Struthio camelus: one gene and its partners. The protein of the gene in region 1 purifies or fractionates together with the protein of each later gene. This does not show direct contact. Links are inferred from orthologs where the notes say so. Each region holds a gene or a part of one and is shown in the gene's direction. Other genes may lie near its edges. The genes, in order: EXOC6, EXOC3 and EXOC2.

Region 1 (7,962 bases):
CTGTTTTAGCCCAGAAGTTGCTGACTGCAACACTCGGTACTGTAGAAAATAGTTAATGTGTCTAGGAAAAGCTCGGCGTGGTTAGGTACGTACGACCCGACTGTGGGGCCAGCAACAAGGTTTTTCTCCTAGCGCTGCTTGTTGTCGTGCCCTTGGCGCCGCTGCTGCAGCAGTGCGATGAGCTGCCGCCCTCCTGGGTCTCTGCGCCGGCCTCCCTGCAGCCGGCAAGTGCTGCGCTGCTTGGGGGTCACCTTCATCCAAACGCCTGCCGGCAGGCACCCCTGGTCCCCCCATTTCCTCACCCAGGTCCTCCAGCGGCAGCTTTTGGGGTGGGTTGTTGAATACCGCCTTTCTGTCCAGGCAAGCGAAGTAGCCTTAGATATCTCCAAGTGGCTCAGGGAGGTGGTGTTGAACAGGGTCCGGTTTGGGGATGAGCCCGTGGAAGGAGGTAGCACCAGAGGAGATGCAGAAATGACTGGTGCCATTAAATATAAAGAGCATATAAAGAGAAGGAGAAATCTAGGCTGTGACCAATGAAGTTATTTGTTATGCAGGGTATCGCATGTGAAAAGTACATACAGTAGGTCTATGCGAGGGTGGACATTTTCACCTCTCCCATTTTCTGTGAATGATTTAGAATGGATTCCAACCAGGAAAATATAATTAAAGGAGCCTCTAATGACTTGCTGCTCCTAAGTTTGCATTGCTTATTAAAAAAAAACAAACCAAAAGTAATCTACGCTGGAATTATACACCCAGCAGGCATGACTCTATATTATGGTACATACTACTCTTTTTGTAATTGTCACATCAGTAAACCGTATTTTTAAAGCATTACCCCAGACATGCTAGATTTAAACCTCAGAGGCTATGTTAGTGGAAATATTGGAACAGGAGTTTTTGGCCTTCTGTATCCCCAGTCACGAGACAGTTTGGGGTGGAGGAAGAGCAGATCTTGGAGGGGAAGGAAAGAGAGAAAGGATGTGGAGAAAGCGGTTTTGCTCTGGATAAGCCTCTGCATCCTGCATCACAATCTTGTTTTTATTTGCCTCAATTTTCCTTAGCTCCTGACTGGCCTGGGCATATTTTTGCCCAGGAAAATCTCAGGATGATTGGAGAGATTTCAGCTGCGATTTGTACAGCTCACAGGCCCTGAGGGTTTCTGGCTGTGCAGGCTGTAGGCAATGAAATATCTCCTTCACAGGAATCGCTGGAATTTAACAAGCCTAGAAAAATTCTGCCCTTTTCCAGTCAAGGACTTGTAGCAGATTAATACCTTCTCAGGCTTCTTGATTAAGTTGGGTTTCAACCAGTACAATATCAAGCCTCAGAAATGATTATTCCTACTCTCCCTTTCAGCTTAGTGGATCTTGTACATTTTTCAAAAATAAAATAAAAAGAGAGAAATTAATCAACTATTAAGTACTTATCGTAGTAATTCTTTGCTGACAATGTACAGGCAAAATAACTGAACAGGTTATGCATAGATGTGCAGTTCAGATACACCACCCTACTAAAAGATTGTGCCGTGTCATAATACAGCATTTTTCTTCTTTTATTTCTCAGAAAAGTTTTCTTCCTTGGACAAGGCAGTTTCCTAAAGGCTCTTGAGAGTGACCCTGAACTCACCTGGAAAAAGGTAAAGCTTATGTATGACTGAAAGACACAGACTTTGGGCATGTATAATAAGCACAGGAGGGGAGCAGCAGAAGATGGAGATGGAGAAGCAGAACAGGCTGGACAAGACAGCACAGGGAAGAAGCAAAATCTCCTGCAGCAAAAAGAGCTTTGCGCGTTATCGGCCATAATGGACCCTAGCCCGTGGATCCTTGAGCAGATACAGATCCACCACCTCGTGATCCTACAGCAACTGGAGCCTCCGAACAATTTCAAGGCGGGTGCAAACCACTCTGGCGCGCCAGACGGCCAGTTCAGGTGCAGTTCACTCTAACTCTGTGCACCCAAAGGGAAAGGGAAGCCATGTACCTCTGATATCCAGTTCCACAACCAATCAGATTTGCATATTTCTTGGTGATTCATTTTTGTATTTGTTCGCCCCTTTTTACATTGTTTTGTTTTGTTACTAAGCTTACTTATTTGCAGGCAGCTGGGATACCTGCAACAACATCTGTACAACAAATTAAAGCACTGGTTTTTTTTAGTTTATTTATTTCTAAAGTAAGCTTGTGTGTAAGATTTTGGGATAGAAGAAACTACATCCAAAGCCTCTGTAAGTATCAAACTCACTTAAAATCCCCCCAAAAAACAATCACAAGAGCACTCTTTATATGGCTTCATGCTCCCATCGCTGCATCACGTTTTTTCTTGCAAGTCACTGTGTGTGATGCCCAAGGCATCTCCGATTTATCTAGCTCGCCTGTGCTCAGCCACAGCGACAGCAGATGCACTTTCTTCTATCATGGGCCATGTTATCATGAGCCACTGCAAAAGAAAATAAACAAGTGTTCATCCAAATAAAAGTGGGTAGACATATCTTATTGATAGCCATGTTATTTGGAAGAATAAAATGCTTACAAGTCTGTTTTTGAAATTAATAGAAATTATTCAAAATCTTGCCTAAAAATAACTTTTGGTATGCGCAGATAAATGCCAAACATTCTTAGCATCCAAGGACTGTGCTTCTTTCCAGGACATCCAATATAAGAGTAAGATGCCCCCAAGGGGCACTAGAATTGATCAACTTTGCTGATACGTACACGTCGTTATTTAGTTAACCAAGCTTTGCAAAATAACGACGTGTATGTATCAGCAAAGTTGATCAATTCTAGTGCCCCTTGGGGGAAACAATCCAATCTTGGCCACTTGCAGCTTGTGTTGAAGGCAATGGGATCAAAACAGACATCTCGGAGACGAGCAGGCTCTGGTGGAGCAAGGTGTAGAGCAGAGGTTAAGGTAGGTGATCTACATCGCTCTGTGGAGGACCCTGTCTTTCCCCTTTGACTATGGGCAGAACGGAGAGCGCCTGATCAAATAAATAAATTAGGTGCCAAAAGGTGAGTGTTGCGGCCCCACACTGTGCTTTTCAGAAGAGGGCCAATAGCTTCTGTGTAGCGCTTTAGAGTAAATCTACGGCCCAGACTGTGGTAAGACGCTGCTGCAGCAAGCTGTTATTTTTTGTGTTTAATGTATGTTGATTGTATCAAATACAGGAAATTCATTCATCAGTAATTAGCAGCTTTACCTCAGGTGAGCAATAACCCGCAGTGAAGCTGCTGTAAAGCTGTGAAGACAAGATGATTGCAAGGAGCCTTCTAAAACTATCCATCTAGCATGTATATGCAGCGACAAGTTTGGTAAGAAAGGGGTGAATCCAGAGGAAGTTGTAGTGGGATGATCGTTCAGAACTTTTTAACTTTAAATCAGAAGTGTAGTATGACTGACAGAGCTAGGACAAACGAGTTCATAAATTAGAAACCAATGCCAATCAGTGCAATATTTTTTGCAGTTATTAAATTTACTTTTACAGGAGCCTCACATAATTAGTAATTAATACTTAACCTAGCATCTGTCAAGATGAGAACGGGTAGTTAAGATATCCTTTCATCTGCATTTGTGTGACATCCAGTGGCTGGATGGGTCAATCACAGGCATGCATTTCTTGCTAAAGGTGTAAAAATAGCTCACAGCGCTGTTTAGAACACAAAAGCAGTAAATCCGCTGAATATTCATGCTAACAGAACAATTGCTTAATTTTGGCTTCAAAATAAACAGATGATTAAAGACGCTTATTCAAGGGAAGACTTTACAAATTTGGATGCATGTAACACATTGCACCCTTTAGAGCACTTTCTGAGGTAAACTTGTCTCAGTATTCCTGCTGGGCACAGAGAAGTGAATAAACAATATATTGCCCAAGTCCGGAACCAGTAATTTCTGTTTTCCTGCATTTAACTGTTGACTGCACCATGAGTGTCAAAACTCATATTAATTTCATCGGGAGCGGTGCTGAGATAAGAGCTACATTTTCATTAAAATCTTTGAAAAATCAAAAATAGACACGTATCGTAAGACTGACTGTGCCATATAATAAAGAAGGCTGATATTAGACTTCCAATAAGTTTTCTAAATTGAAGGATCTAAAACTCCAGCCTTTGTTCCAAATAACTACTTGAAATTTTTGCCATTATCATAATTATCTGATATCAGCATTGCTCTGAACGTTGTAGGAGTCCATCCTCATTCTTTTCCCTGCAGGAATGCAACGCACGTAATAAATGAGTAACTGTTTACTGCATAGGGGAACACAGCCATGTAAAAATCAGTTATCCTAGAGCATTCTTTACAAGCTGTTACTATAAATAGCATCTACTAATGCTAAAAATGAAAAAGGTGAGAACATAAAAGTTGCCGTGCTTTTTTTCAGCTTACTTTATAAAGTCCATAAACCTGCTTCATAAAAGCCGCCAATTACTTGTTTGTACAGGCTTTTTACACAGCAAAAGGAAAAATTCAATCTTCTATAAAAACATGATTTTAACCTCACAAAACTTGACAGACAGAGTGAGCATTGTGGGCCAGTGTCTGAAATGACTTTAAAATTGTGTTTTCAAATTGACTATATTTCAGGCTTTGTGCTTATTACTTGTGAACTACTGTGAGGATGTAGAAATACTATTTTTGCCAGTAAGTTTCATATTCAGATAAACGGAATACACACACACACACAAAGACCGTACAGGCCTGGGTACTGCGTACGAGGCAAATGTTACTAGCGGAGACAGGAAAACAGCAGCTGTGCACCATTCTTGGACACAAAGTCCTCAAGAGTCACGAGGTTAGCGCAGGATCTGTTTTTTCATGCCTGGTTTTGCTGACTGCAGTCACTCAGTCAACGATAATAATCAGAATAAAAGTCCTCTCCTAAAGTTAGACTAGTTTTTATGCTCATCTATGGCGAGGAAAAGCAAGTCAAATATGTCAGAGTTGTATCTAGAAGACAACAAAGATCAGATATACGAAAATGCCCTTGCTGAGATCCAGTCCTTTGAGCTGCCTCTGGGAACCACGCTAAGGTATGCATCGTTTAGATCATATTATATCGTTCATGATGGATTTGCTCCATTCTATAGCTGTTCTTGCAGTCAGCCCAATGTATTAGAAAGTTGATTATCTTGACACTGACATCTACAGGAAAGTTGTATTTGATTCCAATGCGATTGGCCCTAAATCAAAAAGTATAAACTGAAGACTCAACTCAACTCTTTCTTTTTATCAGGACAAAGCTGTTAGTGAAGGCGGGCTGCACGTTCTCTCTGAAGAAAGAAATTACATTTAAACATGAAAACAAGGGAAAAATCACTTTTGTGTAACAGAGTGCTTTTAGTTTGAGGTTGACAACTACATTTTTTAAGAATAATTAATTGCTTCTAATTTTTGTATTTTTACTGAATGCAACCTTCTCTCTAAAGGCACAGCTACTCGGAGTAAAGTTTAACTTAGGGATATCCCTAAATATCTGAAGATTTTAATATGATTTAATTTACAGCTTATGGAAATAGTTTAATGGTAGAAGCGCAACTGAAAAAAATCCTTTGGATATTCATCCCTACAGAAGTAACATATAAAAGATTATGATGTTATGAGCCTAAGTATATTGTTAGTATCTGTAGAAAAGATTTAAAAATAGCCTGCCTGGGATTGTAGGAATCGGGTTGCAGTGACTACCAGGCTAAAGAAAGTAAATTTAATTTACCCTGAAAAATGTATGCGTCAGTCTACTAAAGTAATTTGGTGACGCAAAAAAAAAAAAAAAAAAAAAGAAGAAAAAAAAGGACGTGGGAAAATTGTTACTGCAGTTGAGTGATTTCTTGAAGGAAACACTACTGCAGAGAGAGCCTGTAGGATTTTTCCTATTTTCTTTCTGCAGTACACACTTTGTAGGCACTTGTCTACATTTGGAATACTCCCTGCTGTTTCAGTAGGTGCCATCAATAAATTCAGCTGAATCAACAGCAAATATGATAAAACTACAAGCACAGACAAGATGTACCTAGTCTTAAGCGCCATTTATTAACTTAGCGTCCAAGCGTAGCTGCACCAGGGCAGGAGATACGGTAAGTTTGGTTGCAATAACTGGAAGGATGCTAAACGTTATTGTAGCTCGCTGCTGTCTAGACCTACGTGCATATATAGCTGTAAACTTCTGTCAGTTTTTCTTGGGAAAAGTAGCCAGACACCACTCTGAAGTTTCATGCTAAAGGCCTATCTCTTTACGCTGGCTTCCCAGTTGTGCACAGCTAACTTTGCCCTGAAAGCAGGTGTATCCTGTCTCCTGAACATGCAAAACCCAAGGACTAGCTCATCTTAAGCCACAAACCACAAAGTGTATAATTTAAATAGAAAACGAGTTATTCCTTCTTCATTGAAAAATGGAACCCCATTGTGCACGCGCGCAAGGACAGCCGAAGACAAGCTACAGCAATGCAGGAAACAATATGCAAGTTTCTAGTGAACCGGATAAGCTGGGGAAGCAACGCAGGGCGATGCTTACGCAAAACGGTGCGCTCCCGCAGCACGGCTTACCTGCGCCCCAGCCCCCCCAGTCCTGTCTGCCGAAGACAGAGAAGAGGTAGCTGGTCTAAACTGAATAATCATAACAATGGGGGGGGGGGGAAGGCCTAGCACTAGGCCTGGTACTAGCACTCGGGGCTGGCGGCGCTGCACCTGCCGCCTCGCTCCGGGCGAGCCCAAGGAACGACCCACAAGTAGCCCACCGAAAAAAGAAAAAAAAAAAGCCCCTTCTAGCCCCCTCGGCCTTGACGGGCTGCTCTAAAACAGCACCGCGAGGACGGCGCAGCCGCCCGTGCAGGGCAGCGCCCGGGGTGCTGCGGCTCCCCCTGCCGCGGCGGCAGCCCGGGACAGCCGGTCCCCGCTGCCCGGGCCGGCGGAGAGGCCGCCGCGGGCTGAAGGCCATCGCCGGGCTCCGGCCGGGGCGGGCGCGGCCCCGATCCACCTGCCTCTCCCCCGCCTGCCCCGCTCCCGCTCCCGCTCCCGCTCCTGCTCCTCACCTCACCTCGGCGCGGCCGGCCCGGCCCTCCCCGCCGCCTCCCTCCGCCCTCGGTCCCGCCCCGGCGCCTCCCGCCGCGGCGCGGCCGCCGGGTCCCTCCCATCCAAGATGGCGGAGAGTCTGCCCGAGCATGATCGGATCCTGCAGGAGATCGAGAGCACCGACACGGCCTGCGTGGGACCCACCCTGAGGTGAGGGCGCGGGGCGCCGCGGCCGCGCAGGCTCCCCCCCTTCCCCCCCGCCGCGCCATGCCGCGGCCCGCCCTGCCCTGCCTTGCCCTGCCTTGCCCGGCCCGGCCCGGCCCGCGGAGCCGCCGCGGCCCGGCAGCCGCGCTGACAGCTCCTCCCCGGAGACACCGCCGGGGCCGCCCGCGCCTGCGGGGGCGCCGCGCCCGGGCCCGGGCCGCCCCGCGGTGGACGGTGTCAGCGCGCCCGGCTGCGGCGGCCCCTCGGCGGAGCGGGGCCGGGCCGGGCCGTCGGGCTCGGCGTGGGGCTCCCCCGCGGAGGAGGAGCTGCCGCGGCGGCGGAGCGGGCCGGAGCCGAGCCCCGGGGCGAGCCGGCGCGGGCGGAGGGTCGGCTCTGGGCTGCCGGGGCGGTGCGGAGGGGCGCAGGCTCGCCTGAGGCCTCCTGCGCCGGGCCGCGTCCCCTGCCCTGGGCATCTGGCGGCTGGTCGGAGCGTTCTCAAAACACCACAATTTCAGTGATTATATATGTGTGTGTGTGTGTGTGTGTACATATACCTTTTTTTCCTCTCTAATTCTTTTTTTTTCCCCTACTGGCTGACACACCAAAACGGTTTTACTTAACCTTTCCTGTCAGAGAGAAAGACGTTAGTGCCCCCCGGCCTGAGCTGAGGAGAGCAGGGCAGAGCCCGGAGGCAGGAAATAAGGGTGTTCAGGGCAAAAAGTGCTCGGGTTTGGGGGGATGCAGGAGGGG
Region 2 (7,557 bases), on another chromosome or scaffold:
ATTCTATCTCATCATACACATGCATGCCTTAATAACTGTAGCTATTTATCAGTACCATTCTCACATCTCTAAAAGCCACATCTTTTTTGATTTATACTTCTTTATTCTCTCACGCAGGTCTCAACCTCTCACACAGGTCCCAGTTAGCATGCAAGCCAGAGTTGACAGAAACTCGTTTTGCATGTGCCTTCCGTGATGCAGTGTTTAGTTTCACTGTCCTTCCATCCAGATGTCATTCAACAAAAGCCAAAAAACTCCCATATTAATGAATACATAATTATTATAGATAACAGGTATTCATAAAATATATTATAATGCCTTTTAGAGACCTAATGGCTGTAAGCATAAAAATATGGCTTTTACTGTATCTTTGATAGCAATTTTTTTCTTCTGTCTTAGTAAAGATACTAGATGTCAAATGCCTGTTGTTTCCTCTGTACTGTCTCACTATCACTGACACTTTGTCACAGTGACAGTATTAGATGACCAAACATAATTTAAGATAACCTAAATAGTGTCTGAGATTTAAAAAAAAAAGTGTAATATTCTGATAGTGTTACAGAAAAGCTTCTATTTTTTTAAATATACTTTACTGTTTTCACAGCCTATACATATCAGACGTCAGATATCATCTCACCTCACTAGCGAATTATGTATGTAATTTAAAAATTGTATTTTGCAGGAAAATTGTGAGATCGATACGGCATAAACTAAACTAACATCTGTGCATAGATCATGAATAGATTCAGAAAGAGAATGTATTTTCACCATCTGAATTACGTTAGTGAAAGTGGCCTGTTCAGAGCTCTAGATTGATTGGGCAAAACCAATTTCACAAATTAAGCTAACTAATTCAAAATGAGGTGAGATATTCCCATGTGATGATGCAGACATAACCTTATTCAAATATTCTTAACCAATATTCATTTTCACCTTGGCAAAGAAAGGGGATTAACCAGTAGATGACCCTCAAAATAACATTGTAAGCACAAGAAGTAAAGGGCCTAAGATCGTATGCACTTTTGAGTAGTTCATTGCTCTTGTTCCTTGAAATTAACAAGATATTAATTGAACTCAGCACCCTTCAGTCCTGGGTCAAGTTCTGCCAGCCAAAGAAGACTTCAAGAATAACCTGTAAAGAAGAAAATTTAACAGACCGAAGCAGTTGAGTAACCACCATTTTGGAATGAAAACACTTGCCAGAAGAGCACCAGTCAGAGGTGATCCTGTGACAGCAGATCCTAGCTCAGTGCTCCTTGTCTTCAAGACACCTCTACGCCTATGGTGCTTACTTTCCGCGTCTAGGACAAAGAAGTGACCAGTTATAATTATTCTTATTCAGGTATATGTGCAATAAATGCATTTACAAGACCTGCAATGATGTTGGAAAAGTTACCACATTCTGTCTTAACATCTGCTGGCTAACCTTTTTTCTCAGGCTAGGAAAAGTTAGACATGAAAGGACAGCTAGAAAAACTATGCCTCAGCAGAAACTCTTAGAAGCCTCTATAAGAAAAAATGTCTCATGATGGTTTTTATCTCAAGTTTAATTTGCAAGGAATCCCCACTGATAATAGCAGAGGTAAGAAAAAGCAATTTAAAGGACTAGCTTGCAGAAGTCAGTTCTGGAAAAAAATCACAGGCTCTTTGAAATATTGCCACTTTCCATTCTTGCTATTGTCTCTCAGTTATTCCTCAGCTGTTGCTTCTTTATTCTTCAGATATTCCATGCGCTCAAGTTGTTAAAAAGCATCTGCAAGTAGCAAGTCTGCCAGAGATGCAGAAGACTGATAACCAGGATTTATAGGGACTGCTAATATTTGCCATGAAAACAGTACACTTATCATTAGCGTGTGTAACTATCCATTGCTGATCACTTAAATCTCCTTAAGAGCTTTTGAAGCCCTTTGATTTATTTAATCAACAATTTATTGTATGCCTTTATTTTTTTCTAGAAATTATGATTTGTATATTTTAAAGTGGTTTTAGTAACATATAAAACTATTAATGTTGTCCTGATACTTAGTACAAGCACTTTTCTGCAGCCTGCCACCTTATTCATTTTTTGTCCAGCTCTCTCCTTTAATTTACTTTTAATTACCAAAGCATTCCTAAATATTGATTTATCTGTCCTTAACAGAAATATTGTATTTGTTGTCTTTAAAAATATTTAATTGAAAGGCACCAAGAATACTATTTTTAATTACTACAGCTTGGTCTTTTCCAAGAAAAGCAACCAATTTATTTCTCAGATGATGATATTTAGGTCCTATCCCTTGAAGCGAGTAATATCTTCAACAGAGCATGCAATAGTGATAATTAGTGACTCACTAATTGCTTAATTGGAGCTAATTGGAACTATTGCTTAATCTATTCTAAAACATAAATAATAAGATTGTGACTAAAATTAATATTCTAATAACATCCTTATAAATTTTCTTGTAGATTGTGTCTGTTTTGAAATGAAGTCTCCTCCGAGTATGCTATTGAAAACTACTGTCACTGTTAATATATCCCAAAAGAGAGATGCCATACCAAATGCCACACAATCAGCAGTTTTATTTGAATGCTAACCCATTAACATTGTTCTAGCTTTTACGACAAATGCAACAAGCTCAGGAATAAGCTAGTTATTTGCTAAGGAAATCCCCATTATTCTTTTCTTAGAGTACTATTCAATTTAGTTCCAGAAAAATGGCTCTATGCAAAATATATATGCCTAGCATTTATGGGCATCTGTTATAAATTCAAACATTGTACTTAATAATCAGTTTCTCATTTTATCCTTGAAAAAGTTATTTCCCTATAAAGCGTACATGAAGTGTTTGCCAATATTTCCTCCCTTACCTTTTTTTATAGCAATGAGAGGTGGACAGAGACCAATGTCAGGTTTGGAAGAAAGCTGTGTTTCTTTCGGTTCTTCTTCTGATTCCCGCTGTGCAAAGTGATAAGGAGAAGAACTAGGCTTAACTCTTCCCTCTAGTTCAGTTTCACCTCCCACTGGCTCCTCCATCTCCAGCACCACATAAAATAACCTAAATTAACAGTACAGAAAACAAACAACTGGACAATGTAACACTGCAAGGACCAACCACATCTTCAGTATTTTTATGCCCATTATAGCATCCCATATGATATATTAGTGAGGAAAAAAAAAACATTTCCTCTATCTACTTTTGGTAATTTAAAAGGAGAAGATCTAGCAAACCAGTATCATTTTCCAAACAGCTTTAGCTGGCAATCTACAGAATAATAAAAACCCATTCAAGTTTGCCCATTAACAAACCTTTAATTCCACAACTATCATTTTTCTCTGACCACTCAAATTTCTGGAGGTGGGAACTCACCCTTTGAGGGAGAGGTTAAGGTCCCTCTTGTTAAGAGCGCTGCAGGTCCAAAGCAAAGCTTTGGGCACAGAGTGCTAGGTGAGGCACTTGCTCACCCCCAGATGGGATGCCTTGCTGGGTGCACGTGGCCTGCTCAGCTGCTATGGCAACCCTTACACAAACCCAGCTAACAACCTCGCACCCCGAAGGCACCTCATTTGCCCCAGTCTCTCACCACCAGTGAAGCTCTGATTTTGTAACTGCTCCCAAGGATTTTTTTTTTTGTTTGGCTGTTTTTTCAAGCAACGTACTTTTCTCTTAGCAGGAAATAAATCTTTAAGGATATAGTTTCCATGAGCCTCTTAAACGCACTGTTGCTAGGAAACATGTACACAGCAGAGTTATACAAAGAGCCACAGGAGGGCATAGCTAGCTGTATCCCAGCAATGAAGTAACGCTTCTTAAACACAACCCTTCTTGGCAAAATAACAACCACCTGGCCTCTGTGTAAAATATGAAGAGATACAGCTAAGAAAAATAATCGAATGATGACTTTCTCTTTTTTTCTGCTGGGCAAAGTCACTTGTAGATAGAGCTGAAAGGTATCACGTGGTTCCCAGGTTCTTAGGTAGCTGATACCTAAGACCTATTGCTTTTGTAGCAACATATTACCATTTTAACTGAAACGTTAAATACCTGACAAAGCTTCTACATCTTTTTTTCACAGACTCTGAAAACCTTGACTTAAGGTCCCAAAATATTAACAGCCACCTCAAAACTGAAAGACTGCAAAAACAATCAAAGCTTGAGGAAGAGGGGGAGGTGCGGCCTGCAGCCCCGCAGGCTACCGAAGCCCCCCTCCCCATAAGGGAGCAGCCGGCGTCCCCTCGCTCCCGCCAGCTAGGTTGCATCCCTTAATAGTCTACCCATACGCGTTTACACAACCGCCTCCACACCAGACTGAGGCTACTTAGCGAGAACAAGGCAAGCCACTCCACCGTCACTACAGAGCCAGAGGCGGTACCTCCCTCCTAGAGTAGACTTTTTAGAAGCATGAACATCCCCTTCCCGCCCCATTTCCGAGCCCGCGCAGGCGCAGACCGCTGCCCTAACAGGTGAAATGGTAAGTCTAGCCCGCATGCGCACTAGCCACTAGTCGTGGGTAAGCGATGAGCTTTCTTCTGCGCTTGCGCGCCGGGTCTTGTGCCCCTGGGTGACCGTGGCGCTTGCGCGCTGCGTGACTGTCACTGCCCTGCTGGGGAGTAGGCTGGAGCCCGTAAGTAGTGTTTGGGGCTCCTGCTCTCCCACCCCTGGCCCTGCGCCAAAGCCCCAGCCGGTGAGCGCTGCGGTGTCGGCTCCTGCTAGGCTATCGCTGTTTGTAGTGACCCGAGCTTTTGCTCGAGTCTGGAACGGGAAGTGGAGGGGGGCCGGGCCGAGCTGAGCGATCCGGGAAGCCTCTCGGGATCATGGGGCCGAAGAGGGGCTGAGGGCTCCTCCTGCGCGCTGTGGCGCAGGAGCCCTGTCCGCGGGCCTCCGCCGAGGCAGAAGGGGCGCGACCATGGCGGGTCCGCAGCCTGGCCTGCGCGCTCGGGGCAGGTCTCCGGCCTTTGCCTAGCAGCAGCGGGCACCTTCGTCGATGCCGATGACTCGGGTTGCGCGGCCCCGATAGGGAACGGGGCTGGGCCGGGGGTCGCCGCCGTTTCCTGTGTGCCGTGTTAGGAGGGGAAGCTGCGTGGTGGGGAGGCTCGCGCCGGGGCGCAGGCGCTCCCCTGGGAACTGGTGGTATTGCTCGCTGGCTTCTTGGTTTCACAGTTGGAACCTCGGTGCAGAGGATGAGGGGATGAGGGTATGCTTGCTACTGAAGCTTTTCCAAGATTGCTTGCTTGCTTTCTTCCTTCCTGTTTGTCTGTCTGTCTTTGTGTCTCGTTCCAGCACATAGCTCTGAGGATGTGTGTGGTTCTGGCTCGTAGCCAGAAGGTTGTAAAGGTTGGCATTGTTTCTTAACGTTTGCTCTTATATGAATAGGTAGCAGTTGTACAACCTGTGTACCTTAGCAAGCTGGTATGCAATCATACCAGCTTAGGTGTGATTACCTAAGCTTAGGGTGTTACGGCATACTGGCTTCTAACTTTCTTTGTGGGACATACTTAATAGACCAGGATAGTGGCTCTGTGAGTTAGAGTATAATTATATTGAGTGTATCCAGATTTGTTAATAAAGGAAGTAATTCAGCATAAAACTATCTGCCATAGATGCTGTTTCTGTAGTAAGTCCATATTTAAAAATAACAGGTTTTTTTGATTGTAGATATGTTTGTGACAGCTTAGGAGTGGATTGAGCTAAACAGAAATAGGGTATTTGTTACAAAGTGTGAGTGGTAGGAGTAGATCCTCTATTCTGAAATGTGGAGTAGGAAATCAAACTTAATTTAGGGTAAATGGGTTATTAGCAGAGAAGTGATGGGTATGTTTGCGAAGCTGAGGGGGTAAAGTAGGGTATGAGTTTATACTGCAAAAGTAATTCTGTTATAAACACTCTTTAGACATGTAATTTTTGAAGGCTGATCATAAAAAAGTCAAACTTGAGAAAGAAATAGACTAGCTTTTGGGTTAACTGTACCTGAAATCTTTCTTAACCCTGCAAAGTTCTAAAATAGCTAATTCTAATAAAGCTAAAACTATTATAATGCAGGAAAAATAGAGGTTACTTATGCTCCATATTAATGTGAAAGCTTTTTATTACTGAGATGTTACGTTATCCAAGAATAAATGCTGTAAAACCAGGAAGTTAACCATTAATTCAAACAGAAGTCTATGCAGGTTGATGTGAAATGTAATCGAGACTCTAAAACAATTTTAGTTCTGTGACACATAATATCTTTACAGTAACGTGGTCTTTATTCTGCATTTAAAATGTAATTAACTGTAGATCAAACTGATGTTTTAAAATTTCCTTCTTTCTCCTTCCTGAGACCTTAACAAATTTTACAGCAGTACTTATTCAAAATGTTTGCCGTTGCCTGCAAGTTTCTCTACTTTTTCTAGACTGATGATTTAGACCTTATGTGTCAGGTTATGTAATATCAATGCCTAGGCCTACAATGGTTAGAAGGCCCCATGCTGTGCAGTAGTAGTGGAGGAATATAGCTGCTAGCATGGCATTATTAGGGTAAGACTTGCGTTAATTCCACAGTTCTGTGCACCCTGTATGGTTCTTCATCAGATCTCAAATTAAGTTGGTAAGCTGTTGCTGATGCAGAAGATCTTAAGGCGGCATTACAAATCAATAACTTACATTTGCTGAAAACAGCGAAGAGGGAATCAGATTAGTGAGTCTTCCTCACAGAAAATTGATCGGTTTCTTCATACTGTCTTTCGTGTAATAAAGCTGATAGTTCATTTTTGTCTTTAACACAGCTTATTCTTCCAGAATTTCCTGATGGAAATTAAACCTTTTCTGTTTAAGGGTGCTGGCATGAAAAGTTGTACTTATGAAACATAAAGGTAAAAATGACTTGATTAGTGGATTAAAAGTGCTATACAAAGGTTATGTGTTAATTTAACATTTGTTAATGTGTTAATTTAATGTATAATCTGTCTTTTTTAAAATTCTTGAATATAGCCTGTGTATGATCACCAAATATTAACCAGGAAAGGTATTAAATTAGGATAAGGATTTCAGTTAAGACCATCTGAAAAAAGTGGTTCTTAAATGTTTTCCACACACATACTCATTACCTCTGTTGTCTCATCTAGATTGTGCTGATGTTGGAGAATGTGATATAGTATTTCCTGCCTTCCATGTGGAGTCAGGATATTACAGATGTAGAGTTTAAGTGATCTACTGAATATACTAATGCACTGTGCCTTGAAAGTTTTTAATGTCAAGGAAGAATATGGATTTGACGGAATATGATTGTCATAGTAACAGAGCAGAACCTGGAAGCATCCTATTTGATTCCAGGAATCAAGATATAAAATGTTTCTTACCATCTGGAAGGAACCAGGAACTCCAGATATGTTCATATCTTGTGGAGTTCTATGCATAGCATGTTCTTGCATTTTCAGTGATTGGGATCGTTCCTGTCTTCCATGAGTAGCTAGTGAAGCATGAAAGGACAGGTCTGTTTCTATTGCCAGCAACTTTGCCTGTTCAGCATTTTGTGTCTAATATTAGTTTGTGTCTTGATTTCATTGGAAATTCCACTGGAGATTTAAGTGAAATACTTCAT
Region 3 (8,088 bases), on another chromosome or scaffold:
TTTCCTTTTACAATAAGGTAATAGGTGTTGTACACAGGGAAGAAGTAGGAAAATGTCAGGTATCTTCATTCTAGTAAGGCATTTGTGAATGTTTCCCAAATGTAAGAAAAGACATGTATGTTCTGGGTTGAAAATCCGACAGGATTGGAAAAAGAATAGTTGGGGAAGAGTTAGCAAAACGGTACACTATCAAAATGGAAAGAGATAGTGAAAGATTTTCCTGCAGGGTCTATCCTGAATCTGATGCTGCTTATTAAACATCTGAATAATAGAAGAAATTAAGCTTGTTACAGTTGCAGAGGACATGAAGAAGAGAGCAGCTAATAGTGTATTAGAGAAGAGAATTAGAATTAAGAGTGATTTTGACAAACTAGAGAATTTGTTTAAATAAAGCCAAAGAAGACAGTACTCGATAGGTGCAAGCGTAGTATATTGCACACAGAATCATCCATTCCCCAGAAACAGGAAGGGAAAAAGTAAACATGGTTACAGTTGCATAGAAAAAGATGTAGAGTGAATCACAGGCCAAACACGAGTCAACATTGTTATGCTGTTGTCAAAAGGCAAATGCCGTAAAAGCATGTAGGAACAGGAAGATAGCCTGCCAAATGTGCAAAGCAATTGTTTTGCTCTGCTCACCAATGGTGAGACTTCAGCTGGAACTAATTCTCTTTTAAATGTTTTTCACCTGGAGCACACTTGGCTTTGGGCATTGCATTTACAGAATGACATTGAATGATTGGAGAAGAGTCCAGAAGAGATCAAGCTCGATTACCAATCTAGAAAATATAAAACATGAGGAGACTAATGGGACTGTTTGGCCTAAAGAGGAAAAGAATGTAGAGGGGACAGAGTCTTTAAACACGTAAGAGGCTGGTTCAGGGAGGAAGCAAACAGTCAGTCTGAGTCCAGTGAAGACAGAACTATCAGCAACAGACTGAAATTGCAATAAGGAATATTCAGGTTACACATTAGGAAAAATGCCCGTAATGATAAGGGTAGTAAAGCAATGGAATATATTGCCTGAGGAGATGATAAAAGCACCATACTGAGAAGTCTCTAAGAACAAGACTGAAAAAACATTTATGCTATAACAAAGGAATAGTTGATCCTATCTTGCGGTAAGGAAAAGGACGAGAAAAGATGATTTCTCGATATCATTTTCAGCCTTATGAGCCTTAGCTTTTTTCTGTTCCTTAGATTTCACTAATTCACTAATAATATTAAACTCACAAAAGCAAATACAAGCATGGAGAGTTCTGTTTTTGATGTTCCCACGTCAAGAAAAGAAGGGTGACAGCTGTAAGTTTGAAAGCCTACGGGAAGGAAAACAACATTTCTCTGGAATGGCTGTTACACAGTAAGGAATCAAAATTGAATCCATATAGTTTATCAAGAGAAGATGAAGGAGTGAATCCACTATATTTTACAAGTATCTTCAAAAGGAAGACATTTCCGATAACAAAAAGCAATCTAGGAGCAGAAAAATGCAACAATCAGATGCTGAAGCTAGACAAATTTAGCTTTCAAATAAAATTTATATTTGTGTCCATTATTTTTTTCATGTTAGGGTGACTAATCACTGTTAAATCTCAGGAAATACAGCGATGCATTTCCCATTTCTCCCACTCTTTAAAATCAAACGTAGATGTCTAAGAAACAACCACACGAAGAGCTTGGTTTGGGAATGGCTGCAGGAATGTCTACAGCTTTTAATATTCAGGTTAGACAAGATGATCACAATAATGCCTCTTGGCTTTCAAATCTGTTTATCCAACTTTGTAAAGAGATGTATTGTTTGCAGATCACTGTCAAATCTGCATAAATGGATTAGCAAAAGGCATGGATGAGCAATTACTTTTCTGACCTCTTTGAGGTATAATACACTTACTATTTACCAGGACATTATGTTACAACTTGTCATTTCTTTCCTCAATTTTAATAGCATAGATTAATCTCTTTAATGGTGCCTGGAGTTCCATGGAGTAATATATTTATATTAACAGCATTATACACGACAGCATATATATATACTACATATTATGATCTCTCATATTTATGAGATATATACATATATGGATGGATGGATGAATGGATATAATAAGAGCACTAATTTTCCTCCATTTGTCCTGAAGATATGTGAGGCAGGGTTTATTTTCTCCACTGGGTCCAATCCATAGTCAGTTACTGTCACCTTTGTTTTGGAGACACTGAATGGGGAGGTGATGGTAACCACATGGTCATTGTACATCAGCTGGAAAAAAATACCCACTGTAGATTCAGTGAAGCGCTGCACACAGGAGCGCTCCTCATCGGCTGCCTTATCCAGGCCCCCTGGAGATCATAAAAGTCCTAGATGCCACTGTTGGCAGTAGGAGAATTTGCGTATGTGTATGCCTGAGATGAACCTACATATACTATAGGTAAGGTTTCTGTTGTTGCTGAGTTTACTCGGGTTGTGCTGTTCTGACAGGTTCACCAGGACAAAGATCTGAACAAAAATATGGCCAAGCAGCAGCTGAGAAAAAGCTTGTTTAAACCTCTAAAAATGAAGGGAAGAGAGCTACTAAATTCTGGGCTGTTTATTGCAAAATCTTCTCCGCAGATAGCTCCTTTATGGACCCCCACTAAAGTCAACAGGCTTTTTTGGGCACAGGTATCCACTCACAGAAAGCATTTGGCAGGGCTAGGACCCAAGTGTGTACAGTATGAGACGGTGCCTTCTGTATCAACCAAACCTTTCAATTTAGTGGTTTTATTTGGCACATCTGCTGACAAGCTTCTAATGAGATGATGCTAACAGAATGTCATGAAAGAAAAGCATCATTTTGAAACGGGTGGCAAATAGATTTTTTTTTTTAATGTCATGCCAACTTTACTTTTTGTGCCAACTTTTCTTAACCTCATATTTGCAAAAAAACTGCTGAGTCACAAATAATAACTTTGGAAATTATTAGGGACAGGTACCAAACACTCTCATTGTTCCCCAGATGGATGCTATGTGCTGACTTAAACGAGCAAGAAGAAAGAGTCAGAAAAGCACTGTTTGTTCATGTGCTGAGATATTACAGCCTAGTAACGTAGCTTGGGCAACTCTCACCTCTGGAAAAAAAAGTCAGAGAAATAACTTTTCTTGGCCATAATGCTTCTTGAAAGTTCTTTGAGGTTTTATGAAAGTTAATTTATTTTCCCACAAAGTATATGTTAGGTCAAGGTCAGTGAAACTGAGCAACTGATTATTCCTTCTGTGTTTGCTTTCTGTTTTCCCTCTCCTTTCCACTTAGACTCCATCTGAACTGGGTTTTTACAGATGAATTCCAAACAATCCTAGCAAAAATGGAAAAAGGACAATCCTCCTGTCCCTTCCCAAAAAGGAAAAGAGCCTCTGTTCAGAGGTGTCTTGGGGAGACAGCAGGTTTAGTTAAAAATATTCTAATTTTTTTCATTGCAAAATGAAGATTCTTTTGCATTACTTAGCTCTAACAGATAGCATTGCCTGCCTGCTCACTTGGCTGCCAGACAGCCCAGGCTTCCCCAGCATCCACGGCAGCTGTATCCTGTTTCTGACCAGCTCTGCGGAGACTGCGGTAGTTCCAGAAAGTCGCTGCCTGGGGTGGGGTCAGCCCATTAGAGGAATAACCTGAAAAAAAGCTTCCATAAGTCTCCTAAAGCAGAATTTTACAGGTTTCCCCCCTTCAGTTCTGAGGATATATATATATTTCTGACAGATCGGATGAAAAATCTTGTTATCGCTCCTGACCTCAAAATAAAATTTAAAGGGGAGGGAAATTCCAGCTTGTTGTCCAGCTCAGGCCATTCAGCATTTTAGAGACTGAGCAACTTAAACTATACTCAGAAGAACCATGCAGGCAGTGCAGTGTTGCTGTAAATAAGCTCAGGGCTAGATCTGCTATGCACTTAACTATACGCAAAGTCTGACAGAGCTGTATGCCTGACTCTACTCATCTGGGGAGTAATGGGAGAAGGGTCAGACACAGCAAGGTTAGGCCAGAAATGCCCACTTTAGGTCTGGCTGGGATAGATCCTTTGGGGTTTTTTTTGTTTTATTAATAAATTTTAAAGTGATTTTCTGAAGAAGAATATTTGCAAACCAAAAAGTCACCCCGCGGCTACACCTCGACTCTGGACTTGCCTCCAAAGGCAATTGATACCGACGTTTTTATCTGGACACAGGCACAAGTGGTCCCCAGCCCTGGAGGCACCATGGCCATCCCTTTCCGTGCCGTGACCACACCTGCAGTTTACAGACAAAACTCAGGCATGAGGCGACCAAGAGAAGCAAGAAAACCAACCGCCCCACCAACCAACTGCCCTGCTCTCCACCCCCACGCATGTTTCTTCTTCCCCACCTTCCTCCCGCACACAGTCAAACAGCCCCCAAAGTCCCAGGCCCGGAATCTCATGCCAAAAACACGGAGGTCCCCAAATTCCACACACTTCTGGAAGAATTTCTGCTTGCTGCAACCTCGATACAGCGCTCGGGGAAAACCAAATCTTTATTATTGTTACTTCTATTACGTTTTGTGCTTTTTCATTACTCTGTTTCACCTCCTTTTCCACAAGAGGACCAACTCTTGGTGCTCGACGGCACCTTTATTTGCTGGCTGCTTGTTTCCAGTGTGTGCGGGGGGGTGAGGGGAAGGGAGGTGTGGGGTGTGAAGCGGAGCACGGCGGGGGGTGGGTTTGGGGTGTGCAGGACGGCAGGTGTGGGCTGTGAAACTGTGGGGTGTGAAGTGGTGTGGGGGGGGCAGGTGTGGGGTGTGAAGCGGTGCGTAGGGGGCCGGCGTGGGGTGCGTGGGTGGATGTGGGGGGCTTGGGGTGTGCGGGGGGCCGGTGTGGGGTGCGTGGGTGGATGTGGGGGGGGCCGCAGCCAAGGCTCCCTCCACCAGCCCGACTCCGCCAGACGCCACGGTCTGCGCCTTTAAGGGGGCGGGGCTTGGGAGCACGACGGCCGTTGGGAGCGGCCGCTTCTCCTCGATTGCTCCGGGTTCCATCGATTTTATCGGGCAGCGGCTGCAGGTGCCTGTGTCTGCCGGACGCGGAGGCGCTGCTGGGAGCGGAGCTGCCCCAGGTGCCGGATACAAACTCGGCGGCAGCGGCGGCGGCGGCCGGTGAGTGACAATCTGTGGCCTCCCGCCCCCCTGTGCTTCCGCTGGGCTCTGCGGAGCCGGCTCTCAGCGGGGCAGCTCCGGCTTCTTCCCCCCGCTGGGGCGGAGACCGTTGCCCTGCCGTCGGCAGCCCCGTCTCCTTCCTCCCCTCCCGGGGGAAAGGGGGGGGGGTCGGGCTGGCGCCCGCCGGGCGGGGTTGAGTGCCGCGTTCCAAGCCCCGCCCCTGCCTCGGGAGCGGGGACGGAGGTGCCGTTAACGGCCGTTGGGGCCGGGGCGGGGGGAGGTGGAAGGAGTCGTTTGTTCTCTGCCGTCTCGCGCTTTGAGGCCTCCCTCGAGGCACCTGCTGGCTCCGCCCCGCCCCAGGGGTCCGCCGCTACCTGTCCGCCCCGGCTTGTCTGCCTGAGACTCGGCCCTGGGCGGGGGGAAGGGGGACGGCCGGGCCGCCTGGCGGGGGAGGGAAACTGTGACTGCCCGGCTTCAGCAGCCCGCCTGCCCTGCCCTGCCCCCAGCCAGCTGACGGGAGGCAGGGCACCGCTGACAGGGCAAGGAGATGCGGGCTCGTTTGCGGCCCCTCCGGGAGGGGAGGGTGCGCCCGCGGTGTCTTGCTCCCAGCTGGGTGTTTGTGTGGGGGACGGTGCCCGGGAGAGGTTACACTCGAGCCAGGTAGTGCTCTGTCTCGGCTCTATACCGAGAGGGAGCTTGTGAGGGAGCTCTTTTCGGGGGCTTGTGGGACAGGCCCTGAAAGCCTGCGGACAGAGTGTCATGTAGAGGGTTTTACCCGTTTCATTCCTCACAATGGTCTCTCGGGAACACTGTAAAGTTGCTTCTGTTCCGCCTTGGTTATACCCTGAACTGAGACTTGTCTAGAACGACCTTAAATTATTATTGTGACCGTGTTGGGCACGGGCAGTAGAGGAAATAAGCAGGGGAGGGCACGGTCTGACTCCTGAAGAGCTGGTTACTCGAGGGTCTGATTTCTTAAATCCACATTCAGTGGTACGGCAAGTTTTCAGAAACTGCTTACCGAAATAAATGCACAATTAGGCAAATATAATAAGAAGACAGTATAATGTAGTTTGTTTGGAACAAACCAAAATAGCATATAATGATTAAGAGATGATTACTATCATTGATAACTAACTGGTAGTGATACATTGCCTCCACATGATACATTTTTTTGTGACCTTTTTTTTTCTTTTTTTGTCCTTTCTGCCCAGATGTAAATTTCTCCCTCACTTGGACAGCATTGCAGTCCAGAAGGGTCTATGAGCTGGTGACCAAACGTCTTCCCTCCCTGCTTCTCCAATATTTTAACTGGGAAGCTGAATAGGATATTTTTTCAGGGGGAATGGATGTCTGAGCACGGGAATGACCCTGTTTCCAAAGGAGAGCTTGTCATTCTCTCCAGGTTCACTGCTTGCTCTTTGTTAGATTAACAGTTTTTAACTATATACTAGAAAGCTTTGAAGTGAAAGCCAATAAAGTATTAAGCAATCTTAGCTCTGACAGACCATCATATTAAATCTAAAGTATGAATATCCACACTTTAAATTTTAGTTTAAAATAGTAGTCTTATTATAACTTCCCTGACTTTCTGATCATTCTTAAAATAAGTAAACTTTTTTCTTCCTGTAATGATTTGTGTGTGTTTCAGTACTATAAACCTTTTGGTTTGAATTTGCTTTTGATAAAGTCATCAGAATAGTTAAAGGGCTTCTTTTTTTTTTTTTTTTCTCTAAAGTGCAGATGAACAACTTTGTGACTTAGGAAAAAGGTCTATTTTCTTCTTCAGGTGAAGAAGAAAATAGCTGTTTGATTCTTGCTATCTGTCACAACTTGCACTGACCCAGCAAGAAGCAGCAAAAGGCGTGCCCTGCTGCTGCGTTCTTTCCCATGGATAGCTTAGTTTACAGTTTTTGTGGTTTATGCCCGCCCTCGGAAAATGATGCTTTTACTCATATGGGATTTTTGTTGTCTTAATATTCATATGAAACAGGATGCGATTACTTTCTTTATGCTAGTGTGACTTATGTCAGTAAAAATGCCACTAATTTACATTGTAATGCCAAGTTTTTTTTCCTCTGTATGGGAAATTTAGTCTTTTTAGTATGTGTCAGAGGTGAAGCTATTTAATTAAAGCATGTTACCAATCAAACGTGTGTGTTTTTTTTTTTTTTGATACAGTAAGGTAGAGTTGTCTTGGGTTTTCATGGTCTTGGTTCAGTAAATCACACTTTTTCAGAGACTTAGTTCAGACACTTAATTCTTTTATATTTGCTTTATCAGAAATTCGTAGTAAATAGCCTAAGCAATGGACATTTTTCAAAATCAATCAAAAACTCCTTTTAAGTCTAAGTCATTAACTTAAACAGCAAGAAATAACTTTAATAACTAATTCAACACCTTGTCCTTTGAGCAGTGTTTTTGTGTGCGCGTGGGGAAACTGGTTCATTTTCAGTAAAAGAGGTAACTAATGTTCACAGAATAATTTTGAATCTGTAGCATTCAGATCTTAGTATTTTGAGTAGCAGGATTTCTTGCAATTCTGAAGCATTTTTTTTTTTTGGTAGCTGTTGAGAGTTCTTGAGGCAAAAACAGACAATAAAGATATAACATGTAATCTACTGATAGTTTGCCCAAGGTCCCATTAGAAAGGATCTGTATCCACTGATAATTAATGCAGTTTGTTCTTATGCTGCTCCTCCCAATGAAGTTGAACTAAAGCAATTAAGTGGGTAGACTAGAAACACAGAGTCCACGGCCTCTTAGTGGTGAAAATTTTAAGGTATGTTGTGTTAAACCTTACTTTAATTTATTTCAATGTATTTATTCATTTAGCTGTAAATTCAGTACGTCTTAAGCACTACACTTGGAAATAAACGTCAATTTTGAGTTACTTTAATTCTATTCCTTCTGGTCTTTACCCCTGAATCTACTTCATTAAAAATAAATAAATAGA

Evidence for each region.
Region 2: the proteins of EXOC6 (region 1) and EXOC3 purify together in Homo sapiens (affinity purification with mass spectrometry; 6 studies listed by BioGRID and IntAct, counting the BioPlex papers as one, with this or other methods). This does not show direct contact. The link is inferred for Struthio camelus from reciprocal best matches to the Homo sapiens genes EXOC6 and EXOC3.
Region 3: the proteins of EXOC6 (region 1) and EXOC2 purify together in Homo sapiens (affinity purification with mass spectrometry; 5 studies listed by BioGRID and IntAct, counting the BioPlex papers as one, with this or other methods). This does not show direct contact. The link is inferred for Struthio camelus from reciprocal best matches to the Homo sapiens genes EXOC6 and EXOC2.

Annotation. Positions count from the first base shown.
Region 1 is NC_090948.1:19,087,997-19,095,958, forward strand, and holds the start of EXOC6 (exocyst complex component 6), read left to right. Parts: upstream 1-4,902; 5' UTR 4,903-4,911; coding exon 4,912-5,033; intron 5,034-7,061; exon of another isoform or gene 7,062-7,135; coding exon of another isoform or gene 7,136-7,218; intron 7,219-7,962. UniProt on the Homo sapiens protein: Component of the exocyst complex involved in the docking of exocytic vesicles with fusion sites on the plasma membrane.
Region 2 is NC_090943.1:75,388,632-75,396,188, forward strand, and holds the start of EXOC3 (exocyst complex component 3), read left to right. Parts: upstream 1-4,477; 5' UTR 4,478-4,602; exon of another isoform or gene 4,603-4,662; intron 4,663-4,774; exon of another isoform or gene 4,775-5,172; intron 5,173-6,742; exon of another isoform or gene 6,743-6,829; intron 6,830-7,557. Other genes in the region: dynein axonemal heavy chain 5, read right to left, coding at 1,201-1,301, 2,848-3,035, 4,023-4,237. UniProt on the Homo sapiens protein: Component of the exocyst complex involved in the docking of exocytic vesicles with fusion sites on the plasma membrane.
Region 3 is NC_090943.1:104,985,936-104,994,023, reverse strand, and holds the start of EXOC2 (exocyst complex component 2), read left to right. Parts: upstream 1-4,997; 5' UTR 4,998-5,132; intron 5,133-8,088. UniProt on the Homo sapiens protein: Component of the exocyst complex involved in the docking of exocytic vesicles with fusion sites on the plasma membrane.